3 linked regions of the Astyanax mexicanus genome follow. The protein of the gene in region 1 binds, or shares a complex with, the protein of each later gene. Links are inferred from orthologs where the notes say so. Each region holds a gene or a part of one and is shown on either strand. Other genes may lie near its edges. The genes, in order: ranbp9, armc8 and gid4.

What was found.
Region 2: the proteins of ranbp9 (region 1) and armc8 are in contact, whole or in part, in a cryo-EM structure (PDB 7NSC), measured with the Homo sapiens proteins. The link is inferred for Astyanax mexicanus from reciprocal best matches to the Homo sapiens genes RANBP9 and ARMC8. Residues at the interface, in NP_005484.2 of Homo sapiens: Tyr271, Gly298, His299, Ser300, Leu301, Gly302, Ile303, Asp337, Asp340, Tyr341, Arg343, Glu344, Thr347; in NP_001350870.1 of Homo sapiens: Gln245, Arg246, Asp247, Val277, Leu278, Lys279, Ile317, Ile320, Thr321, Asp322, His323.
Region 3: the proteins of ranbp9 (region 1) and gid4 are in contact, whole or in part, in a cryo-EM structure (PDB 7NSC), measured with the Homo sapiens proteins. The link is inferred for Astyanax mexicanus from reciprocal best matches to the Homo sapiens genes RANBP9 and GID4. Residues at the interface, in NP_005484.2 of Homo sapiens: Ser223, Lys224, Gly225, Arg226, Asp227, Gly228, Tyr229, Met230, Gly256, Asp257, Thr274, Phe275, Thr276, Thr277; in NP_076957.3 of Homo sapiens: Leu187, Arg189, Asp194, Glu195, Asn216, Asp218.

The regions. Positions count from the first base shown.
Region 1 is NC_064415.1:42,231,586-42,239,249, forward strand, and holds the start of ranbp9 (ran-binding protein 9), read left to right. Parts: upstream 1-4,597; 5' UTR 4,598-5,057; coding exon 5,058-5,274; intron 5,275-7,664. Other genes in the region: E3 ubiquitin-protein ligase RNF182, read left to right, coding at 382-1,134. UniProt on the Homo sapiens protein: May act as scaffolding protein, and as adapter protein to couple membrane receptors to intracellular signaling pathways. Acts as a mediator of cell spreading and actin cytoskeleton rearrangement.
Region 2 is NC_064418.1:10,799,299-10,807,036, reverse strand, and holds the start of armc8 (armadillo repeat-containing protein 8), read right to left. Parts: upstream 3,061-7,738; 5' UTR 3,000-3,060; coding exon 2,955-2,999; intron 1-2,954. Other genes in the region: dbr1 (lariat debranching enzyme), read left to right, coding at 4,908-5,104, 5,197-5,321, 6,299-6,379, 6,475-6,560. UniProt on the Homo sapiens protein: Component of the CTLH E3 ubiquitin-protein ligase complex that selectively accepts ubiquitin from UBE2H and mediates ubiquitination and subsequent proteasomal degradation of the transcription factor HBP1.
Region 3 is NC_064426.1:31,298,744-31,306,558, reverse strand, and holds the start of gid4 (glucose-induced degradation protein 4 homolog), read left to right. Parts: upstream 1-4,757; 5' UTR 4,758-4,952; coding exon 4,953-5,141; intron 5,142-7,815. Other genes in the region: drc3 (dynein regulatory complex subunit 3), read left to right, coding at 1,018-1,149, 1,423-1,495, 1,722-1,843, 2,488-2,619, 3,216-3,326.

The sequences.
Region 1 (7,664 bases):
AGAAAGACCCCTTATCAGTGTTAACAGTGCACCACAGAAAAGAGGAATGGAGGCACTAATTGGACTGAATTTGACTGGCAACAAAAGGTCTGGCTAGAAAATTCCAGCCCTGGTTTTACAGGGCCTGCTTTGTTGCTGTCGCGTTTGTTCTCTAGTGCTGTGTTAACAGTTATCTTTTCTCTGGCAGCCTCTCCCCACCCTTCCACAGAGTGCAGGAAAGAGTGTCCAGTGCGAATGGGTCCAGCGCCGCTCAGACGCTGCTCCAGTTTGCCCAAGCCTGCATGGCACTCTCTCTGGAACCTGTCTGTGGTGTAGCAAGAGTCTCTCAACCATGTCTGTTACTACAACAAGCCCTTGCCACAACACTGAGAGGAGAGAGGCATGATGGGTCAGCTTCCAGAGGAGGTTTTGGAAGGCTTTGGAGCCGAGGAACTGGAGTGCAAGATCTGCTACTGCCCTTACACTCTGTCTGGACGACGGCCTAAAGTGCTTGAGTGCTGCCATCGCTTGTGTGCCAAATGTTTGACCAAGATCCTTGATCTGGGAGACTCACCCCCGAATGGGGTGGTCTGTCCTTTCTGTCGCTATGTTACTGGACTCCCTGGAGAGGCTGTGGCAAGTCTGCCGGACGATTGCAACCTTGTGACGGCATTAACCATCCGTACCCGCTTTTATTCCAGCCTTCGGGAGAACCACCAGGGCGAGATCTTGTTGAGCCCCAGATGCTTGAACACTCTAGTGGGCCACTCGGCATCAGCCTCACCTTCGTCCATACGCTCCAACTATGTGGTCATCACCATCATGGAGCCTCCACAGGAGCCGGTGGTGGGTACCAACGGGGCTGGAAGGAATCATCACTCATCCAGTCTGGACTCCATGGCCTCGGTTACCCGGCGCTGGACAGTGTGGAACTGCGCAGCCCTGCTTTGTCAGACCTCAGCCCGAGCCCTGCTGTGGCTCCTTGGGCTTCTCTACTTCAGCTCCCTACCACTAGGCGTTTACCTGCTCATCATGCAGAAGACCACGCCGGGCGTGCTGCTGGTCAGCCTGGTGCCCGTCAGTCTGCTCGTGATCATGGGGTACGGGCTTTGCCAGTGCATGTGCCATGAGTTCTGGAACTGTGTCCTGCCATGACTACCAATGGGAGGTGGACTATTTGCCCAAACTTGTTATCTAAACTGGTGACCTCACCACAGGAATTCTGGATGCATCAGTGGTGCGACAGGTTTGTGGAAATCTATGGACTCAATTTTGGTATTTTCTGTTTTATTTAAGGAAAGAGAAGTGTGTTAATTAATGACTGAGATTAAAAGTTAAGTTTGTCATGTTTTTTTAGCATTAAATTCCAAATCGCAATTGTGATTATGCCTTGGATGGGATGAACTAATGGACCCTTGATGTAACATGGCTAATGGTGTATCGGGTTAATGCCTTGATTCATCAAAAACCTGAGAATCTGAGAACTGGTCAGAATGCTCATGACACATGATCAGCATTGGAAAGACCAATATCACAATAACTATAAAACATTAAATATCATTTATCCTAAGCTGCTAAAGAGCATAATTACAACAGAGCTCCCAACAATTAAGGTGTTCTCTTGCTAATATTTTGTATAGGAAAAGTTTCCCAGAAAGGGATTAAGCTGATCTTGGACTTTGTCAGGAAACTTTTTGAAAATATTTTTACTTAGTTTTGTAATCCACCAAATATATTCAATTACAAGAGTGTCTGTGTATTGTTTTTTTCCTGTGTTTCTTTTATTTCCCAGACAATTAATTAATGACAATGTAAATAATATAGATATGTGCACTGGAAAAATCTGTGTGAGTCATTGTTTCAATGAGGGAGAGATGTTGTATGTTGGCCACATATGAGTATGCTAATAAAGTATTTAGCCTACCTTAGCAGGCCTTTAACCTGAAACCTATTGGCATCAATTTGTAAAATGAATGATTCTTTAAATAAAATAAAAATAGGTATTTATTGTATATTTATATGGGACTTGACTATGAGTTGGTATACTCTTGGTTCATTTCTGGTTTGCAAACTGTTTGGAAAATGTTCCCATCTGTTCAAATAATTTTACATTCAAATTTCTAGTTTCTATAAACATTCAGTTATTTTATTTCTTTACTTATTTTTAAGTTAAAGCAGCAGTACTTAAGATTTATTTAAAACAGTTGTTCTCCTTGGTTGGGAGTACAACTCATTGCAAGCCAAATATATTATATATAGATTTTTTTCTGGTTACTTGAGCAAACATGGTGATGGTATTGTTGCTGATACAAACTCAGTCTGTTCATTCTCACACTGGTTAATCAATGAAACACAGAATTAGAGCTGAAAAGAGCTGGCAAGAAAAACGAGACCAGATTCATCCGCTCTAACAGGAAACCGCACCACAACAGACTTCTAAAAAGTACTCTTCCACATGCTTGATTCAGTTACACATTCTTTTTTTACATTTAATTTCAAATTTTTATCCCATTTTCTCTCCAATTTACACAGCCAATTACCCAACCCACTCATTAGGACTCCCCATATCACTAGTGGCAGGCGTATGTATCTTTATAGAGAACACTTAAGTACGAAACAAGGACAGTAGAAAAACATGAGAACATGCATTGTGCTGAGAAATTTGGCTGCATACAATTCACGCTAAGTTGTACTTTATGTAATATATTGCGTCTCATGAGAATATAGCTTTTATGTCAAAAAGTTAAGTTGCTCTGGATAAGGCTGTCTGCTATATACCTTAAATAAAAATGTAAAATAGGATTTTTATCCTCTGTATTTTTAGAAGTTCAGAGGTTTCTCTTAAATCACTGTAATGGACAATAATTTTGAGACCAGAGGACATCCTGGGCTTTCTTGTGAGGCTTTCTTTGATAGTGTCAAAACAGTGCACAATTACTTTTTAAAATTTCAGTTTTTACAGATATTGTTTCTGCTGCTAATAATCAAAATGTTTTTTTAAATATTTTTGTTAACTTCATACTGTAATTTTAACTATTTCAAACCACATTTTATGAATCACTTTTATTTAGTGTCCTCTGTGGTAAACAACAGGGCTTACTGAATCGCATTTTTATCTGGTTCCCATACCTGTAAAATCTGAGGGCTGAGTGAGGCTAAAAGGATTTCACTCAGAATTGTGAAAGGGAACACAAATGCAGAGCTCTCAGATAAATTAGAGAATGGCAGGATAGTAGAGCAGGAAGTGAAAGGTCAGAGAATGATCTAGAGTCTGAAAAGGACCAATCAGCTTTTTAGAGGGCTGAGCAGAAACTTTCAGTTATTTTGGTTTTGGAAAGATTTTGGAGCAGACAAACTAGTGGGAGGTGCAAATCTCTGGAAGAAGCTTTTCATAGGACAAAAGAGACAAGTGATTAGTATGTTTGTCTTCCAGCGCTGGAGTCCTGTGTTCAAGTCCCTATCTGGGTGAAGGTTTCATGTTCTCTTTGTGTCAGTGTGGGTCTCCTCAGGTTCCTCATGTTAATTAGTTGCACTTATAATTGCCTAGAAAAAAATGGATAACCTAAATTTGTCTGTTATTTATGTACGACTGTATGCCCAGATATGGACTGGCACTCTGTGCTGGGTAAACTCGATGTAGCCGATGTAGCCCTCCAAGTGGATTTCCGGTTGTGAGTACCAATTGGCTGGCACTTCTCACTGGTGAGTGTTGAACAGTGTAAGTGATTGTGTGTGGAATGTAATTATAAGTGTCTTTGAGTGCCTAGAAAGTAAATATCTCATGATGATATCGTCACCTTCCTAAAATAATTCACCTTTTTTTTGCCTAAATCATCTCCTCATAGTGCTGCATGGTACCTGTGGTAAAATCATCTACATACTCAGCAGATCCTTTGATTCTACCCCTTTAGGATAATGGCCTAGTGTGTCAATAGTGTGACTTTAGCTAATTTATTTATGTTTTATTAATTTTTTTAAACTAAATCTACAATAACTACATTATTCTGGGTACGTGATTCAGTCAGTAATTGATGAGATTTTTACTTCAATATCAAATTTTCTTCATATTAATAAAGCCCACAAGCTGTAAAGATGGCATAGTAGTTTAGTATTATTATTGAGTTAGATTTTTTTTTTAGTCTGTATTTTTGTGTCTGTTAAAATGTTATCTGTTTTCTGTCTTTTTAATCAATATTTTAAAAACTGACTGTATAATAAACTAATCTCTTAAACCACTGCACTCATTATTAAATAGCCATTACAACTGTGATGTGTTTTTTATGTTTCCTGAAAAAATAAGTTATGGTAGGAGGGTGTTGATATGTCTCATTTGGCTGCAAAATGTTCTTCGCACGGCGATTTGTATTTCATTATTTAAAAATGCTGTAAATGCTCCACAACGACAGAAACACTCAAAACTTGAATGTCAGCGTGTGTCTGCATTTAGAAAAATACTGCCAGTAAATGAATAGTTTAAAAACTCTGATTATCGAATATTAATATAATTTTTTGAACTTCATGACCTTTTAAAGCGATGTTAAGAGAGCCTGTAATATTATTGACAGCCTGCTCCTCTATCAACTCCTCCAGAAGTGTGACTGGACTGAGCGAGAGCCAATCAGAGGAGCGGATTTCTCACCAACAACAAACAAAAGATCTGGCTCAGGCATCCACTGCGCTTTCTCCATGTCTTTCTCTTAATTAACAGCCATCTAATAGCTGAATGTCAGCCTGGACGGCGACATTAAAGTCTCTGCTCGGTATCTGATCGCTTCCGTCTCCTCGGCACTGCGCTGTTATCCGCTGAGCTGCCCCGTCCTTTCGCCTACCAGCCGCTGTCGGAGATCCGTTTGCTCGCTGCTAGCTGAGCTAGCTAGCTGTGGGAGCTAGCGGGCTAGCGGGGCTAGCGGAGCGGGGAGAGGAGCCCCCAAAACCGCTCGGAAACCACGGCCAGCGGGCGTGTTGTGGCGGCTGACAGCAGACGCAGCAGATCCCTGGCTGCTGCTGGATAGCGAGCTGTCCAGCTGAGAGTAGCTGGCTGGTAAGCGGTCGGTGTGGAAGGGAGGAATCTGGCCGAGATGTCCGGACCGTCATCGGGCTGCGGGTTTCTGATGTCGGTCGTTGTTCACGGGGACTTGGCTCTGAACGAGCAGGAGAAGGAGCTGAACCAGCGGCTCAGGCGCCTCTACCCGGCCGTCAACGAACAAGAAACGCCGCTGCCAAGATCGTGGAGCCCGAAGGACAAGTTTAGCTACATCGGCCTGTCTCAGAACAACCTCCGGGTGCATTATAAAGGTAAATCCACACTGCAGCAGCAACATCAACAACAACATAAACAACAGCAGCAGCTGAAGCAGCAGGGCTACCTAACTGGAGGAACAGCTAGCAAGCTAGCTAACCTAGTTAGCGTTAGCTAAGTCAGCTAGCTAAATGGGACCAAGTTCCTCTCCAGCGTTTGTTTTAACAGTTTTTACAGACTGGTGTTATTGCGGGATAGTTAGTTCAGTAGCTAATTAATATAGTTAGCGAAGATGTAATTGAAAGTAAAGCCTAAAGGATTTTTTTTAAGTTTAGACGTTTTAGCCCAAAATCACACCAGTCTTAGCTTACTCACTGTATCCTAGTAAATACTCACTACGCAAATCAGGTTTCACTAGTAGAAACTCGCATTTCAGATTAATAGCTAGTAATATCAGATATACAGATCAATTCAGCCATTCTGTCTAATGTAACGATCACGTTTAATATACCACAAGTCCCTAATGTAAGTTAGTTAATTTCACTGATCATATGTTTTGTGCACATACAATGTCACACTCTCTCTTGTAACGGTACATTTGTATTAGTGAAAGCGTCAATTATATATATCTACAATTATTACAGTTACTTTTTACCAGTAGAACTTGTAATTCGACATATACACCCTGACTAATAAGAATTCTAAGTTTTAAATGTCAATATTGTTGTTGATGTAGATATCTGAATGTATGTTCAATGACTGTAATACTATACACATCATAAATACACATTGCCATTAAAATACATGAATTAAAGATGGCTTGAATAAAAATATGATGCTAATCAGAATTAATTAATGGTTATTTGGACTAATCTGAATTACAGGGTTTAAACATATGGGGCTACAATTTGTACTAGTATACAATGTATAGTTATAATAAAAGTTAGATATCTATAACTAGAGTTTTGATTTAATAGTAACACTAATAATATTAATATAAAACCTAAAAAGGAAAGAGTGAAAATCAATGTAAATCAGTTGTGTAGCATACTGTATGACTAGTCAAATGTCAATTAAGCTTATGTTTCCCAGGGAATGTGACGATAGGCCTACAGAATATATTCTAGATATTTATTTTATAGATTTTTACTACTGAACATTAGTCAGTTAGCTTCATTATAGTAATCATTATACATTATATAGAAAATTAGTTTGACTGTTGAATCACAGGCCAGTTTAGTCTAATTTTAGTATAAAAGGGCTTGACATGTGAAAAGTGTAGCTTAGCTAGTTGCATTCGCTACATATAACAGGTTTGAGTGAATGAATCCTGTCTTGTAGTTAACTGTTTGACAGCTTTGTCACAAACAGGACTAGCTAGCCTGGTAGGTAAAAGCAAGCTAACTAGGTTAGCTAACGTACAAAACAAACCAGACACAAAAAGCTACGCAGTGAACGCCTTATTTAACCACGCTCACTGTTAATACTGTTGGTTAGGAGGGTATAGCCTGAATTTGAACAGTGACGGTGAAGATAATTTGAGATTACTGGAGTTTCTCCTCCAAGTTTTCAGAGTTAGCTTAGATTAGCTAGCCAGGCTGCTAGTGAGCTAACTCGACCCATTCTTCAATGAAGTCCGGAAGTAACTGTTAGCGGCTCTCTGTAAAAGAGCTAGACGACTTTCAGGACAGTTTCGTGTCCTAGTCTTCACCCTGTGTCGTTGCCCAGCTGTTAGAGCTCGCTAAAGAGCTTGTCAGAGGCTGCCTGTTGTCAGTCAGAGTCCTGGTCAGCTCGGCTGATCCGCTGTAACGTTATGTATCTAGCTGCCTGACTAAACACTGCAGCCCAGCAGCTCAGCAAGGCCCTACTGTGCTCACCGCTCGATAATGTGTTTTTATTATTATGAGCCGAGGAGACACAGCTTCTGTGTTGCTGACAGGCTAGTGGATTAGCCAGCAGGCTAACTGTATGGGCCCCCATTTTGCCTCAAACAAACAAGATAACCAACTGACCAGCTGAACAAGTTTTTACTAATGTAGCTAACCCAGCTACCCCCCTCCACTCGCTCAAGTGCCAAATGGGCTGTAGCCATTTTCCTCACCTCAGTCAGTCAGAAAGTGAGGCCGCATAAAAATGTAAGCTAAGGCAGTTTATTTAGCTCCCCTGGGTTGATTAAAGTGAGCCTGTGTTTACTCGTCTATACTGGGATGTTTTTGCCTCAATAGAACACAAGTTACATAAACATTTATGGTATAATGTTGCCTTCAATTGGCTGCAGGCTGCTGTAAACAGGTTTGACATTAATGTAGTAATTCCAGGTAGGTGACCTTCGGCCACTTGGTCAGTACAATCCCATTGTTTTGAACCTAAAATAACTCAATACAGGAAAGGCCGGGAGTATACATTGTGTTGACACGCAGTCCTGGGCATAGAAGCACAAAGGAAT
Region 2 (7,738 bases), on another chromosome or scaffold:
TTGTGAGATCCTACATCCATCATAAATTAGTCTTTAGTTTGTTTAAAACAACCAGACCAACGGATCTACCTGTGAGGTATGTTACCCTATCCCTTCCTCCACCTTAAAACACCTAAACTCCCCTCCCTAACACACAATGCAAGTAAGACAATATAATTAGTTCAGTATAAGTATAAAACATGGAATCATACGTATAAAATATGAGGAGCCCAGGGGTTGTTGGGTAATTAATTAAATGATTAAACACAGCTGTCCTTAATATTATATCTTGTTAATTAAATCTTGTTAAAATAAATGTACGTTTACAGCATTTAGCCGATGCTATCATCCAGAGTGACTTACAAGATTATTTCTATTACACAGGTGGGCCAATGTAGTGTTAGGAGTCTTGTCCAGGGACTCTTATTGGTGTAGCACAGCCTCCAGTCACCCAGACCTGGAATTGAACCCGTGTCTCCACAACAGTAGCTCACTATCAGGCGGTCGGGTTATCCACTGCACCACACCACCCACCATGCCACATAAATGACATTTATGTGCTTCTGCTACCATTCCTGCAAAGCCAAATATATTATTCCTGAACACAGTGTGTCTGGTAGGTCCCCAGGTCTTCTTCGGGTTATAACAGCTATTCCTGGTTACCTGAGCAACTATGCTGCTGATAATGGTGCTGATACAAGAGCTAGCTGGTGACCTAAAGAAGAGGGCAAAGGAATCCTTGCTAGAATTATTTTAATAGTATTTTTTATCATGCTTGGTGCAATTACACACCCTTATCAAAAACTTGAAAAATGTCACTGCGTTTTTGCAACAAGTATAGAGTACAAAGAAGAGAGTATTTCAAAACATAAAAACAATATATAAAAACAATATAAGTATCTGTGAATATAATGTGCTTTTATGAACACACCACAAGGCAGTCAATCAAAAAACACATTTCCATAATGCACAAATTTTATTTTTTGTGTTTTTTATGCTTTGTGTTATTACAATCCCAGGTTTTGACTACTGTTTGACTTCTTAATTCAATTCAAGTATTAAATGCAGCTGTTTGGCCAAGGAAACCTATCCATTGACCCTGCTCTGCCTTTTTACGTGACCTGCCATTTGTGGTAGAGTTGCTGTCGTTTCCAGTCACTCCCACTTCGTTATATTATTACTGAAAATTGACTGCGGAATAGTTAGTACAGGGATTCACGCTACAGACCTCAATCGCTACAAACCTCCAAACATCATGTGGCCTTCAGATTAGCTCAAGAAGAGTTGAAAGTAGAGAGCTTCATGAAATGGGTTTACGTGGCTGAGCAGCTGAATTCAATGCACAATGAATTAAACAAACAGTAGTCAAACACTGAAAGTTTAATAACAAAAACATTATTTAAAAACAAAAAAACAAACAAAAAAAGACTAGTTATATGCGAATGCATTTTGGAAACCGACATTAGAGTCGACATATTTTAAACCGATGCTTGATGTATATATTGTATTTATTTTTACTAGTTTAAATAGATCTTTAGTTTTACTTAACCTGTTCTCCAGGTGAGGACCAGGTAGCGCTTTCATTTTATTGTTTGCATAAAGTTGGGTTACAAGCTTAAAAAGTACTGCCTAGCAAGCCTGGGTGTTAACGGCTATAAGAGCAAGTTGCTATTTGCTGCATGCATGAGTTTCACTTACAGCTCTGGAAACAAATAAGAGACAACTTTGCTATTTATAGGTATATGTTTTGAGTAAAATGAACTTTGTTTTACTCTATAAACTACAGACAACATTTTTCCCAAATTCCAAATAAACATACTGTCATTTAGAGCATTTAAAATAGCTGAAATAAAAAAAGATGCAGAGCTTTTATACATCAAATAATGCAAAGATATTCACAATATTCACAAAGTTTAAGAGTTCAGAAAACAATATTCGGTGGAATCAATTAATTATTTAATCACAGTTTTCATGCATCTTGGCATGTTCTTCTCCACCAGTCTTTCACACTGCTTTTCTTTTTTTTTTTTTTTTACTTTGTAACGGTGCTATTACTGGTGTAACAATGCGTAGATGCGTCCAAAGCCAAATCAGACATAACGTAAATAGTAAATTCACTTTAAATAAAATTTTATACTTTAACAGCTTTTGTAACTTACTTAAGTTTTTGAGTTGAAGCTGCTAATTTTTTGACAGTATAGAACTCAACAAGACGGGGGCGTTTCCAGCGGCTAGCATGAGTTAGCCAATTAGCTTGGCAGTTTGACATGGCTAGCTAGCTAAGCTAGAGTTAGCTTTATGGTTGAAGTTTCACACAAGGTTAGCTAACTAACTAATTAGCTACCTCTCTATTGGCACATAATCAAACCAACATACATCTGCTAGTTAGCTATCTAGCTATATATAGGTTAGACCTGCCAGGCTTGTTAGCTAAAGCTGACAGCCTGGGATTCAGTAAACACAGTAGGGCTAGCTTGGCTACGTTAGCCTTAGCAAGTTAGACAGATAGAGGTTGATTAGAGCTAGCTAGCCGAGCAAATACAGGGCTAAACAGCAGCCCAGAAAGTCACCCAACTTCAGTGGCAGCTAGCTAAAGCTCCGGGTGTTTAGCCAGCGTTCTAACTAAACCCGAAATTAAGCACCTTTTCCAGGCAATAGACTAATAAACAAGCGGGCTCGCTCTGCTGGATGGAGTTAAACCAGCTGTCGGGCAGTGCAGGGCGCTGCGGGGCTCTGCAGGTCGGCTAGCCGGAGCTAACCCCAGCTCTCCCGGCTCTGTAGCGCCGCCGGTGAGTGAGTTAACTCCGCCTGACCGACCCGATCCACCCGCGGTGCTCCGCACAAACACGCTCAACTAATGCACTGCACTTCAGACCAAACACCGCACTAGGTTCCACGGCTCCGGTTGCAGGTGTGAGCCGCGGGACACGCGAAAAACAGCGGGGTTAGAGGAAGATTTAGGGGCTCGGACTTACGGACAGCACGCTGATGCGCAGCGGGGCCTCCAGCAGACACGCCATCTCTCTGTGTCCGAACAGCCGGGGAACACGAGCGGCACTTTCCACACACACACACCTGAGAGAGAGAGAGAGCCAGTCAAAATTTGGACACACCTCTTCTCATAAATTTTGTTTTATCTAATTAACGCTAATCACACGAACATCCTGTGATTAGACACCATTAATTACATCCTATCTTCCTTAAGAAAAGATTACGCTTTTGATAAACTGTATTTTAAACAAGAATCACTTTTAGAAACATGAAACATTTATGTTATTGGTGCCAGTCCCTTTCTTGTATTGATCACAACAATATTCTGTGATTAAATCACAGATGAAATCATGATTACATATTTTTAATACTGGTAGAAAAATATATTATAATACGGTAAAACAAAAATCAGATTTTATGTCCCCTTCCTAAAATTCCTTAAGGCTTTCATTTTATGAAGGGTTCTTTTTTTACTGTATTACAATATCTCAGGGTAGTTTTGCTTTTTAAACTACACTATTGTAACGAGCCGAGTTGCTGAGTTTAACTGGGATTTTGAATATAGAAAATATACGCTAGTTTACATCCATATTTCACATTGAACAGCTTGAAAAGAGGAAACGTGCCATCAGCTCTGTGTGCATGACTACGCGAGTGAGTGTGTGTAGGGGTGTGAGAAGAGAGAGAGAGAGAGACAGAGAGAGAGAGAGAGAGAGAGAGAGAGAGAGAGAGAGAGAGAGAGAGAGAGAGAGAGAGAACATAATTAATCTACATATTAATCTGTAAAGTAATGAATAAACTACATAGTTCCACGTGTTCCTGTATAGATTTAACGTCTATATTAAATTTACTTGTGTGTGTGTGGTACTGTATATAGTTTAACTGAAGCTTTTAATCACTGTTTTTGCTTATTATTATTTTATGCTTTATGAATCATTTTATTTCTTTGGGAAAGTTTTGTTACTGATACAAATTTAAAGGAAAGAAAACATAAACCGCTATTTTACTAAATGGTGCGCTATACGTGACTTATATTTTTACGAAAATAATTTTTGCATAGTGGAAAGTGCTGGTGGCTGGCAAAACTGGTTTTACCATGTAAAGTACAGCGAGTGCGCATGCGTGGCCGGTGAATAATGGAGGGTAAGTTGGATCACTGAGAGGGAAATATTGTTAAAGCAGCGGTTTAACGACTAAAATACAGGTGAGACTACACACACAGCTTTTTTGTTTTGATGGAATAATGTCAGAAATGTTGTTTGTGTGCTTGCAGTTTTAATTTAGCTGTATAATCTTCCATTTCGTGCCGTGTCGTGGGCTTCTGTTTCGAATTGTCCGGTCCACCTTAAATACTGCAGCCTTTACTGCCTGGCGTCTGTTCAGGCGCCAATACGTTAGCTAATACGTAATAAGTAATTTAAGGTGGAACGGATAATTCCGTTTTGTTGCAGTTATTCAGCTAACGTTACCTGATGAGCAGCGTCTATCACTTCTTAAACCCTAAAACTGACAAGTTAAAATATGTGAATAACCTGCTGAAGAAAAAAAGATAATCAACTCAAACTGGTCAAGCTGGTTGACTAGCTTAGCTAGATTCTGACCAGTACAGGGTTATGATTTATGTTTTAGTTTGATGGTTAACAGGCTTGTGTGGTTGTTGGACGTTCCTCCAGAGTCTAACTACCATTCTACTTAAAATGCATTTCTATTGATTTTATGCTATATCTGTATCTGTCCAATGTGTCCATGTGAAAACCCCCACCATGTTTAACATATTGGACTAATGTGACCTTTGTCCTGTCAATAGGTTCACTGGTCTGGATATGCACGACTCAGAGTTCCTGGATTTAATAAGACTCTGTCTGAAGAAGCACTTTTTCCTGTGTTAGCAATATTTATTTTTTTAAAACAAAATCTGGACTTTAACATCTACGGATATGAAAATAGCTGTTGAAGGCTGCTGCCATGGCGAACTGGACAAGATATACGAGACCATCAGCCACCTGGAGCGCAAGGAAGGCCTCAAGGTGGACCTGCTGCTGTGCTGTGGGGACTTCCAGGCTGTGCGGAATGAGGGGGACATGAAGTGTATGGCCGTGCCGACCAAGTACAGGCAGATGCAAACTTTTTACAAGTAAGATTTTACGTAGATGATCGATCTACTGCAGCTGTGTATGCTGCTGCATTTTTTGTTTAATATTTTCTATCTCATTCGCACTGTAAAAGGTATTATTCTGGAGAGAAGAAAGCACCTGTCCTGACTATCTTCATCGGGGGAAACCATGAAGCTTCAAACCATTTACAGGAGCTTCCCTATGGAGGGTGGGTCGCCCCCAATATTTACTATTTGGGTAAGAGTTTGTGTCTGTATTGCTGTATTGCCTATAAAGTAAAGTGCTAAACATTATAATAGAATGTTCTTTTGTCTGAGATCATTTAATATCTTTGATTAGATTTGAAGTATTTATGTATTAATTATCTGAGTGTTTTTTTACTTTTAGAAATTAGAAAATGTTAAATAAAAGCATGGACAATAGTGGGAATATTATCCATGTTCCTGTTAGTATAATGTATAAAGTTAACCTTTTTGGACTAAGTTACCCTATTTGGACTAATTGTAAGTTGCCCTAATTGGGCTAAGTTGCCCTAATTGGGCTAAGTTGCCCTAATTGGGCTAAGTTGCCCTATTTGGACTAAGTTACCCTATTTGGACTACTTGTAAGTTGCCCTAATTGGGCTAAGTTGCCCTAATTGGGCTAAAGTTGCCCTAATTGGGCTAAAGTTGCCCTAATTGGGCTAAGTTGCCCTGATTGGGCTAAGTTGCCCTAATTGGGCTAAGTTGCCCTAATTGGGCTAAGTTGCCCTAATTGGGCTAAGTTGCCCTAATTGGGCTAAGTTGCCCTATTTGGACTAAGTTACCCTATTTGGACTACTTGTAAGTTGCCCTAATTGGGCTAAGTTGCCCTAATTGGGCTAAGTTGCCCTAATTGGGCTAAGTTGCCCTAATTGGGCTAAGTTGCCCTAATTGGGCTAAGTTGCCCTATTTGGGCTAAGTTGCCCTATTTGGGCTAAGTTGCCCTATTTGGGCTAAGTTGCCCTATTTGGATAGGATAAATTTTACCTAGTCATTGAGGTATTGTAATTTTAATTTTAGTTCACATATTTTTTGACATACACTGCAGTTTTCTATAATATAAAAAAGCTATTGTTAAGAGTTTTGTGGACGCTGAGAACTCAGTCATTGTTAGGTGATGTTATCAGATTCCAGTTTTTCTCTTAGATCTTTATTCCAGTGATTTAAAGTGGGGTTGTATTGCTTGTTTTGCAGGTTATGCTGGTGTTGTTCGCTACAAAGGAATACGGATTGGTGGTCTTTCTGGAATTTTCAAATCCCATGATTACAGAAAAGGTAATGGCAGAGCATACTCCACACATTTAAGTAAAGATATATGACATTGCATAAATTGGACATTTATACTGAACCTGCTCATTAATCTGTTTCAGGACACTTTGAGTTTCCACCTTACAACCAAGAGACCCTGCGCAGTGTCTACCACATCAGGAACAGTGATGTTTTTAAGCTCAAACAGGTGAGCCGGACTGTGCTGGAGGCTGAAAGGGGTTTGAATATGTACCTGTTTGTGTTGCTTAAATTGAGTAAGAATCTAAATTAAAACGTGACAATAAACTGTATGCCCATAATATTAATTATTAGGCTTTTAGCTGAATCAGAACAAAATTGACACATATGGCATATCTTCAAACACCAAATACAGAACACGTTTTTTTGTCCGCAGATTTTTTTTAAAAATTGGCCACTTTTTTGTTTGCTATTGTGCTTCAAAAACATTTATTTTTAACAGCAGGTTCAACATAAAAAAGTAAATTATTTTGTTGCTCAATATTTCATACAACCCTAATGATTATACTCTACCAGCCAAAAGTATCTTACATACCTTCTCAATCAGTGTTTTTATTTGTTTTATTAGTTTTTTTTTTTTTTTTTTTTTTTTTACATTGTAAATTAATACTAAAGTCATCCAGACAATGAAGGAACACACAATCAATCATGTAGTAACTTAAAAAGTGATAAACAAACCAAAATACTCTGTGAAGCATTTTTTGGGTGCTCCATTACTCCATGTGTTAGTGCTTCTCAAATGTGAAATTGACAGCAATAAATCCATAATCTCTGGTATTTGCTTATATAGAAGTATTTAATTTTCTTCAGTAACACATATGTTGTGAAGTATCGTAGAGAATTGTGGGCAACATATCTTGATGTGATATATTGTATCATGAGATTCCCTGTAATTCCCAGCCCTAGTATATATCCTAACTATACTTTCAAACATGGGGATCTCAGACAATGTGCTGTCATGGTTTAGATCATACCTCACTGGGCGCTCGTTCAAGGTGTCGTGGCAAGGACAGCTGTCCTCAGCCCACTCCCTATCCACTGGGGTTCCCCAGGGTTCGGTACTGGGTCCCCTTCTCTTCTCAATATACACTGCCTCTCTTGGTCAGGTTATCCACTCACATGGCTTTTCCTACCATTGCTTTGCTGATGACACCCAGCTATACCTGTCATTCTCACCTGAAGATAACTCAATCTCTGCACGGATATCGTCGTGTCTCTCTGACATATCCTCTTGGATGAAGGAGCATCACCTTCAATTAAATCTCTCAAAGACTGAACTTCTGGTCATACCAGCAAAACCATCTTTTCAACACAACCTCTCTATAAGCATCGACTCTCTCTCTCTCT
Region 3 (7,815 bases), on another chromosome or scaffold:
TCATTAGGACTCCCCCTATCACTAGTGATGCCCCAACACACCAGGAGGGTGAAGACTAACACATGCTTCCTCCGATACATGTGAAGCCAGCCACCGCTTCTTTTCGAGCTGCTGCTGATGCAGCATTACCGAGCAGCCAGCGCGCTTGGAGGAAAGCACAGCGGCTCGGCTCCGGAACATCAGCTCACAGACGCCCTGTGCTGCAGACATCACCCTAGGAGTGATGTGGGGAGAGAGCGCCATCTACCCACCCGGAGGGAGCAGGGCCAATTTTGCTCCCTCTGACGCCGGCAGCTTGATGGCAAAGCTGCATGAGCTGGGGTTCGAACCTGCGACCTCCTGCTCATAGTGGCAGCGCCTTAGACCGCTGGACCACTCGGCGCCCAAAATTTAATTTACTTTTAATGTTGTTTTAGGAAACTATAGGGTGGGCTTGGGTTTATATTGGCAAATATGCCCCCCCCAATATCAAGCCCGCTCCTACGCCCTTGCCTACAACGGCTCATTTATAAGTACAGTATCATACACACCATATTATACAAACAACACAAATTACATGTAATACCCTTGTAAAACACCAACCCATGATATTAACTAGAACTGCTTTTAATAGCAGCTGGATTTTACCTAAAGGCCTGTTTGCACCTGTAGTATCTGGGTTCTGCAAGATGGTTCTCACATTCTTTTTAGGGCTCTATTCAACAGACTATTTAAAGTGCAAGGGAACAAATTTCACCCCTCTCATCTACCGGCAAGCACACTGAATCTGATCATGTTTTGATTGTGAATTGTGGTCCTTCTCTGACCACCTTTGAATGTGGTTTAATTGGTCCAGTTGTAATCCAATCACAATGCTTATTGTGAACAGGCCCAAATATAGTGTCATATTGATGCCAGGTTTTTAGGGATTTATTGGTTCCTTAATGATGTAAATACGTGAAAATGCTGTCATGCCATGATTTGTAAAAACCCAAGAATATAAAATCCAAACTCTGTTTGATTCTGTTTGTATTCTAGGTGATGGCAGAGATGCAGAAGATAACTGACCCAGAGCTGTTGGAGGCCCAAAGAGATAACTATAGTGAGAAGATTTCCCAACTGTCTGACACTCTCATGACCCTGGAGCTACAGCTGGTGGACCAACTAGAGGTAATATGTTTACGTTAAAATTGCTGGCCATATAAAAGAAAATATAATAAGATAGAAATAATGTAAATAATATTAATAGCTAGGGGTTTAGATCTTGGGGCTGTGATGTACGCTGTGAAGATGGGTGCACTTTTGGTGGGCATTTTTCCTCACGTATGTCTAACCACTCAGGGAAAAATTATTTAAATTACAAATGATAAACTGATTTAGACAACAATAAATTAACTATAAGCAAAGTAAGTAAAGTAACTGTTTGTAACTTTCTTTTCACAGGATGTCTTCAAAGAATTTGAGAGGAACATCTCAGACATGGTTGGAGCCTTTATTGAAAATGTGCAAGGGATATATCCTTTAACTGCTTTACCAGTGCAGAGCCACCTGTGATTTCTGGATTTTACCACTCCACTTGTATAATCTGGGGGCAACAAGGCCAGTTTTCATTGTTTTAGATGTAGTGACCTAATAGTAATTCTTACAGTGTAATAAAGTCATAGAGTATAAATTCACTGTCATGGAGAATGATGTCTCTAATGCTTATTTTTCAAATTAGCATCCTTAACCCTGCCCCACATTTGCACAATGCAGAGAACTGGAGAAGCACTATCATGAGAAACTACAGGAGATTGCTTTGGCCACGCTAGAGAAAATGGCAAGGAATGAACTGGAGGAGGATATGCCTGAAGACATGCACTTGGTCAGTAAGAAACATTTAATTATGAATTTGTTTGGATGTCATTTAGTTGATATTTAACAATCATTGTACAATATGGCACCAGGCTAATTTAGTGTATAGCCAATATATAGCCAGCGTTATACCAGCATGTGAAATATCATGGGATAGCAGTATGTAAATTGATCATGAAGTGTTACCTTAAGGCAGGGCTTGGTAACACCCACACCTGTATATGTTGTGAGGTGTTATGAGTAAGGTTGAACACTGGCCAGTGTGCTCATGGTAATGTGAATTATCATTGAGTTGGTGTGAGGCCTGATAATGGGTAAGTTCTGTGTGACATGGCAAAAGTCATGAAACACACATCTAGTCCCGTTTTTTTTGCCCTTCTTATCAACTTCAAGAGCTGACTGTTCACTTGCTGCCTATGTATTGTATATCCCAGCGCTGGATAGATACCATTGTAGTGAGATAATTGTCAAATGTCATTGACTTTACTTTGCCTCAGGTTTTAATGTTATTGCTACTCATTTGAGATTATAATTGATTACAGTAGCCTTAAAAACGCCATTAAATTGCTTCATTTTTTTACACCCCATTACACAAGAAATATTGTACTATAACAGATGAACCTGTTCTCTGCTCTGCTCTGTGCTGCCCTCTAGCTTTTAGTAGATAAGGACACTGTGGTCAAAGCTGTCAGTGCCTCTCATGACACACACCAGCTGAAGATAGATAACAGGGAGGATGAGCTTATGACACGGATCAATAGCTGGATGAGTGCAATGATGAAGTCGGTAAGACACGCCTATACTGACATGACCCTTTAACTTCAATAGGTACAGTATGTATTAACAATATTAAAGAGGAACATGCTTGGATTGTCACTGTGAATTTTTTTTTTTAACATTAAATAATGAATTGTAATATATATATATATATATATATATATATATATATATATATATATATATACACATATATATGTATATATATACGTGTATATATATATATATATATATATATACACGTATATATATATATATATATATATATATATATATATATATATATATACGTATATATACATATATATATACACGTATATATATATATATATATATATATACATATATATACGTATATATATATATATATATATATACGTATATATATATATATATATATATATATATATATATATATATACACGTATATATACACATATATATGTATATATATGTGTATATATATATATATATATATATATATATATATATATATATATATATATATATATATATATATAATAGAATATTGTATATTCAGTACTATGATAATTTAGACTTTGTCCAATATCTCCAAAAAAAAGCACAATGTTTCATGTTAACAGGTACAGGATGAGGAGGTGACACGGAATCGCAAGCGTATCTCGGAGATCCGTAACTATCTTGAGTATGTGAGGAACCAGCTGGATGAAATCATTTTGCCTGAGCAACAATGAGCAGGGACTTTTAAAGACATTTTCACCCTTTTTTGTATTTATAAGCGAACTTACAGAATGTTAGAAAGCCATATGAAGAAGAATTAACAACTGTTACACACATTTCTTATTTGACTAGATGAGATTACAAATATTTAATTTTAAAATATAGATTTAAAACACAAAAACACATTATTTTAAATAATGATCAGAAGTATAATAAAAAAAAAAATATATATATATATATATATATATGTATGTAGGCCATATTACACTATTTGTACATGTTTTGTATTATTATTATTATTATTTATTTATTTTTTTTATTATCGAAAAAAAAAATTGATCTTGTAGCTTTTTTGATTTGTGTATTTCTTGCACACTTACCCCACCTACAGGGAGAGGTTGATACTACAAGAAGGAGAGAAGAAGGAGTGGACATAATTGGCCCTTTCTCAAGTGTGTGTGTGTGTGTGTGTGTGTGTATCCGCTCAAAATGATGCTTGTTAAATAGCTGTTCCACATACGCCGCTCATGAGGTCAGTGCTCAGTAAGGAAACAAAACACAATGTGCATCATAATAATGTGCTCATTTTAATTTTAAAATATGTTGTTTAATAGCACTTTTTTATGATTGCATGATGCATTATGTATATATGTATCGTGCAAGTAAAGTAAAGTGTCAGTCCACTGTAAACAGTATAGCAGGTAAATGGTCTGTAAACAGTATTGTAAACAGTAAGGTCCATGTATAACATAATAAGTGAATGAGTGCTGTTGTCTGATAAGCTGTGAAGTTTTAATTTACTCATTTTGATTTCATGCATATGATGGTGTTTTGCACTGACACCTTATATAGAAAATACAATATATTGTAATTGCAGTATATTGCTTACAAATCCCTGCATTATGATACACAACATGTTGCTTAAGCTTTTTTCCTGGACACCTCTCTACTAACTCTACTCTGTAATGAAATTTGTTTGTCAGTGGTCATTAATTTCCCTACATGTCTGTTTACATTAGGTTGCATTTTACTGACACGCTGCAGGCCCTGCCGCTGGTTGTGAAAAGCATTTTACAGCTTTACATATGCATGATAAATATGTAAGATTCAGTCATTTTTTTTTAAGTTACATTAACCTTGGAAAACATTCATTAAACAGCAATTTTACAGAAAAAAATACTTATTGTACTTTTGAGGGTTTTTTTTCATTTTCTGTGATAAAATGTGATTTTGCATTCTTGACTGATTCTTAGAATCGTGTTTGTGTAGATTTTATAATTAAATAAAAATCCAACTTTAATTAAGAGTTTATATCAGAGCTCCAAACTCATTAATTTTAGCTAACGAACAGCCTGCAAATCCCAGCATGCTCTTCCACCCAAACGCTCGTGACCGTTGCGTCCCGCCGATACGTGACTACGTCCGACTCCACCATCCAATCAGAGCCCAGTGCTGATTTTGACGACGCACGGTGAAGAGAAGCCCAGGCTCAGATGCCGAAAGGTTGAGCGGAGCGGGAGCGGAGACCGTGGGCTCACGACCCGCCGCCAATGTGCCCGTCTCTCCTCTCGTTTTGAACCCGGTCCGTGTGTCGTGAGCTCACCTGCGCTCGGGGTTCAGCCCGCTGAAGCGTCTCCAACATGCCGGTCCGTACAGAGTGCTGCTCCTGTTCGCCTGCGGCCTGCGGAGCCTCGGCCTCTCTGGTGCCGCCGCCGCCGATCAACACGCAGCAGCCCGGGGTGGCCACCTCCCTGCTGTACAGCGGCTCTCAGTTTCGGGGCCACCAGAAGAGCAAAGGCAACTCTTACGATGTGGAAGTGGTTCTGCAGGTACGTGACTAGCTAGAACTAAATGGCTTCAGTTGAATCACAAGTTGGCAAACCAGCTGGTTTGTTTAGTATCTTAGCTTACCTAGCTTTTGGGCTGGATCCAGGTAGCTAGCTTGCTAGTTTAACCCGCCACTTGTTTGCTTACTAGTAGCAGACGTACCCTTCACACTATTTAGGTTACCTAACTAGCTAGTTAGGTATTTACCCCTCAAATAAGTTACCTTAATCAGTAAATATTCTGAAGTTCAAAAAAAGTGTGTTTTTTGTAAGCAAAGCCAGCAAAGCTTTATTCATTTATTTATTTTGGATGTTTTCGAGTCTGCTGTCTACTCATTCAGTCCTAGAGACGTCATTTTAGTGATACCAGCTGTAAAAAGTAATAACCAATATAACCTAAGTCTTGTCAGTGTAATGTTTCAGTTCAATTTTCTCACATTTTAGACAAAATTCATAAGCAGAAAATTGCATGTAATTAACCCGTCAGTGTTTTTTTTTCTTTTTCTTTTTTTAGCTGGTATAGCTAGCTAGTAAAGAAGAACTTGGTGTGCATCTATTTTTCAAAAGTTTGTCATTCACTTATGCCCCTTACAATTTAATTTCATGTTTCTTCATGTATCCAAAATCTGGTGATATGTTATTTTTGCTAGCTACGAAATTGTAAATCTTTTATTTTCATTTTCCCGGCTAGATTGTGAGGGGCATGAACATTCTTCAGGTTGCTATACTAAACTAGGGAACAAAATAATATTTGTAACTTATATAAGCTACTAAAGTTTTACACACGACTTTCTGTATTGAAAATTGAGCTGGTAAACATTACACTGACTCTTATATCCCATTATGATATCATATCACATTCTCCAAATTTCAATTTTAATAAACAGTGTTATTAATGTACAAAGTGTTATTGATACTTCTTCCCACAAACTGCACTGGTATCAGTTAAAATTAATCTCACCACGTTTACTGTTTTCCTTTGTTGCTCATTTATTTATTTTTATTTAATCATTTTTCCTTTAATATAGTTATATATATTTTGAGAATAATATAACTATTTCACTCTGTGACGTTTGACAGTTCATGTAAACTAACGCTAGCTAGCTTAGCTAGCTTATGTGGCTAATTTCACTCAAACAAGACTGTATGATTTGTCATTTAGCTTACGTTAGCTAACTAGCCTAGTTAACCTGACTAGCTTATACGGTTAACTACACCGCTGACTAGCTAAGCTAACTACATTAGACAGGTAAGCTAATTTAAACGACAAACATAGCTAGCAGCTAACTGGCTACTTGCTAAGAGTTAGCCAGTTAACCTAGCTAGCTAATGCGTTTTGTGGGCATTGATAGCTAGCTACGTAGCTAATGTGTCCTCCGTATGTTTAGTAAGCTAGCCACCTGAGTAGCACCGATGACTTATTAGCTAACCCAGCAGCTAACCTACCTAGCTAACAAGATACGCGATAGCTGCTCTTTCCAGGCAGTATGTACCTAAGCTAGGTAATGTGTTCCTAATGTATCTAAAACCAAGGCCAGTGTTTGGACCTCCTTTATCCCCTGAAGTGTTCTGTGTGAAATTTGGCTGGGCACACAGGTGACTGTATTCCTTTAGACATGTTATCTAGCGTTAGCTACCGCTCTGCCCCACATTTACTGCCTGTAACGCAGTAGTGAAGCTCTGTCAAGCATGTTCCAGCGCCAGTGCAACACAAGGGAAGCCGTTTTAGTCTAAAATCACACTAGTTAACTATTCAAGTCCTATCCAGAGGTGTAATAATATTAATAGAAGTAGAACTGGCTAACTACCGTACTTAGGTAGTTACTAAAATGCTGTATCTGTATCTGCTGGAGTATTAAAATTACTTCACTACTGTATTTAAGAACTACAATGCTGTATCTATCTACTGGATTATTATTTTTACTTCACTACTATATTTAAGTACTAAAATGCTGTATCTGTATCTGCTGGAATATTAATATTACTTCACTACTGTATTTAAGAACTACAATGCTGTATCTATCTACTGGAGTATTATTTTTACTTCACTACTGTATTTAAGTACTAAAATGCTGTATTTGTATCTGCTGGAGTATTATTTTAACTTCACTACTGTACTTAAGTACTAAAATGCTGTATCTGTATCTGCTGGAGTATTAATATTACTTCACTACTATATTTAAGTACTAAAATGCTGTATCTGTATCTGCTGGAGTATTAATATTACTTTACTACTATATTTAAGTACTAAAATGCTGTATCTGTATCTGCTGGAGTATTATTTTTACTTCACTACTGTACTTAAGTACTAAAATGCTGTATCTCTCTAATAGAGTATTATTTTTTTCCTAGTTCTCTTACTTCTACGTTTACTATACTAGCATTACATATTTTCCATAAGTGTAATACTTTTACTCTCGTACATTTTTATGTGCTGCATCATTACTTGTTACAATTATTAAAATGTTAGGGATTATTTCAAACCCATATCAAATTATATCAAGCCAGAGCGGTAGATGCTTTGCACTTTCACCAGGTTTGATGAAGCTTTTCATCGTTGAGAGAATCAAGCAATCACGCCGATCTTATAAGAAGACCTCACTGCTCCCGTTCCGCCTTTCAACAGTACTGTACTTTTACATGCAGTACATCACTACTACATTTTACAGTAAACTAT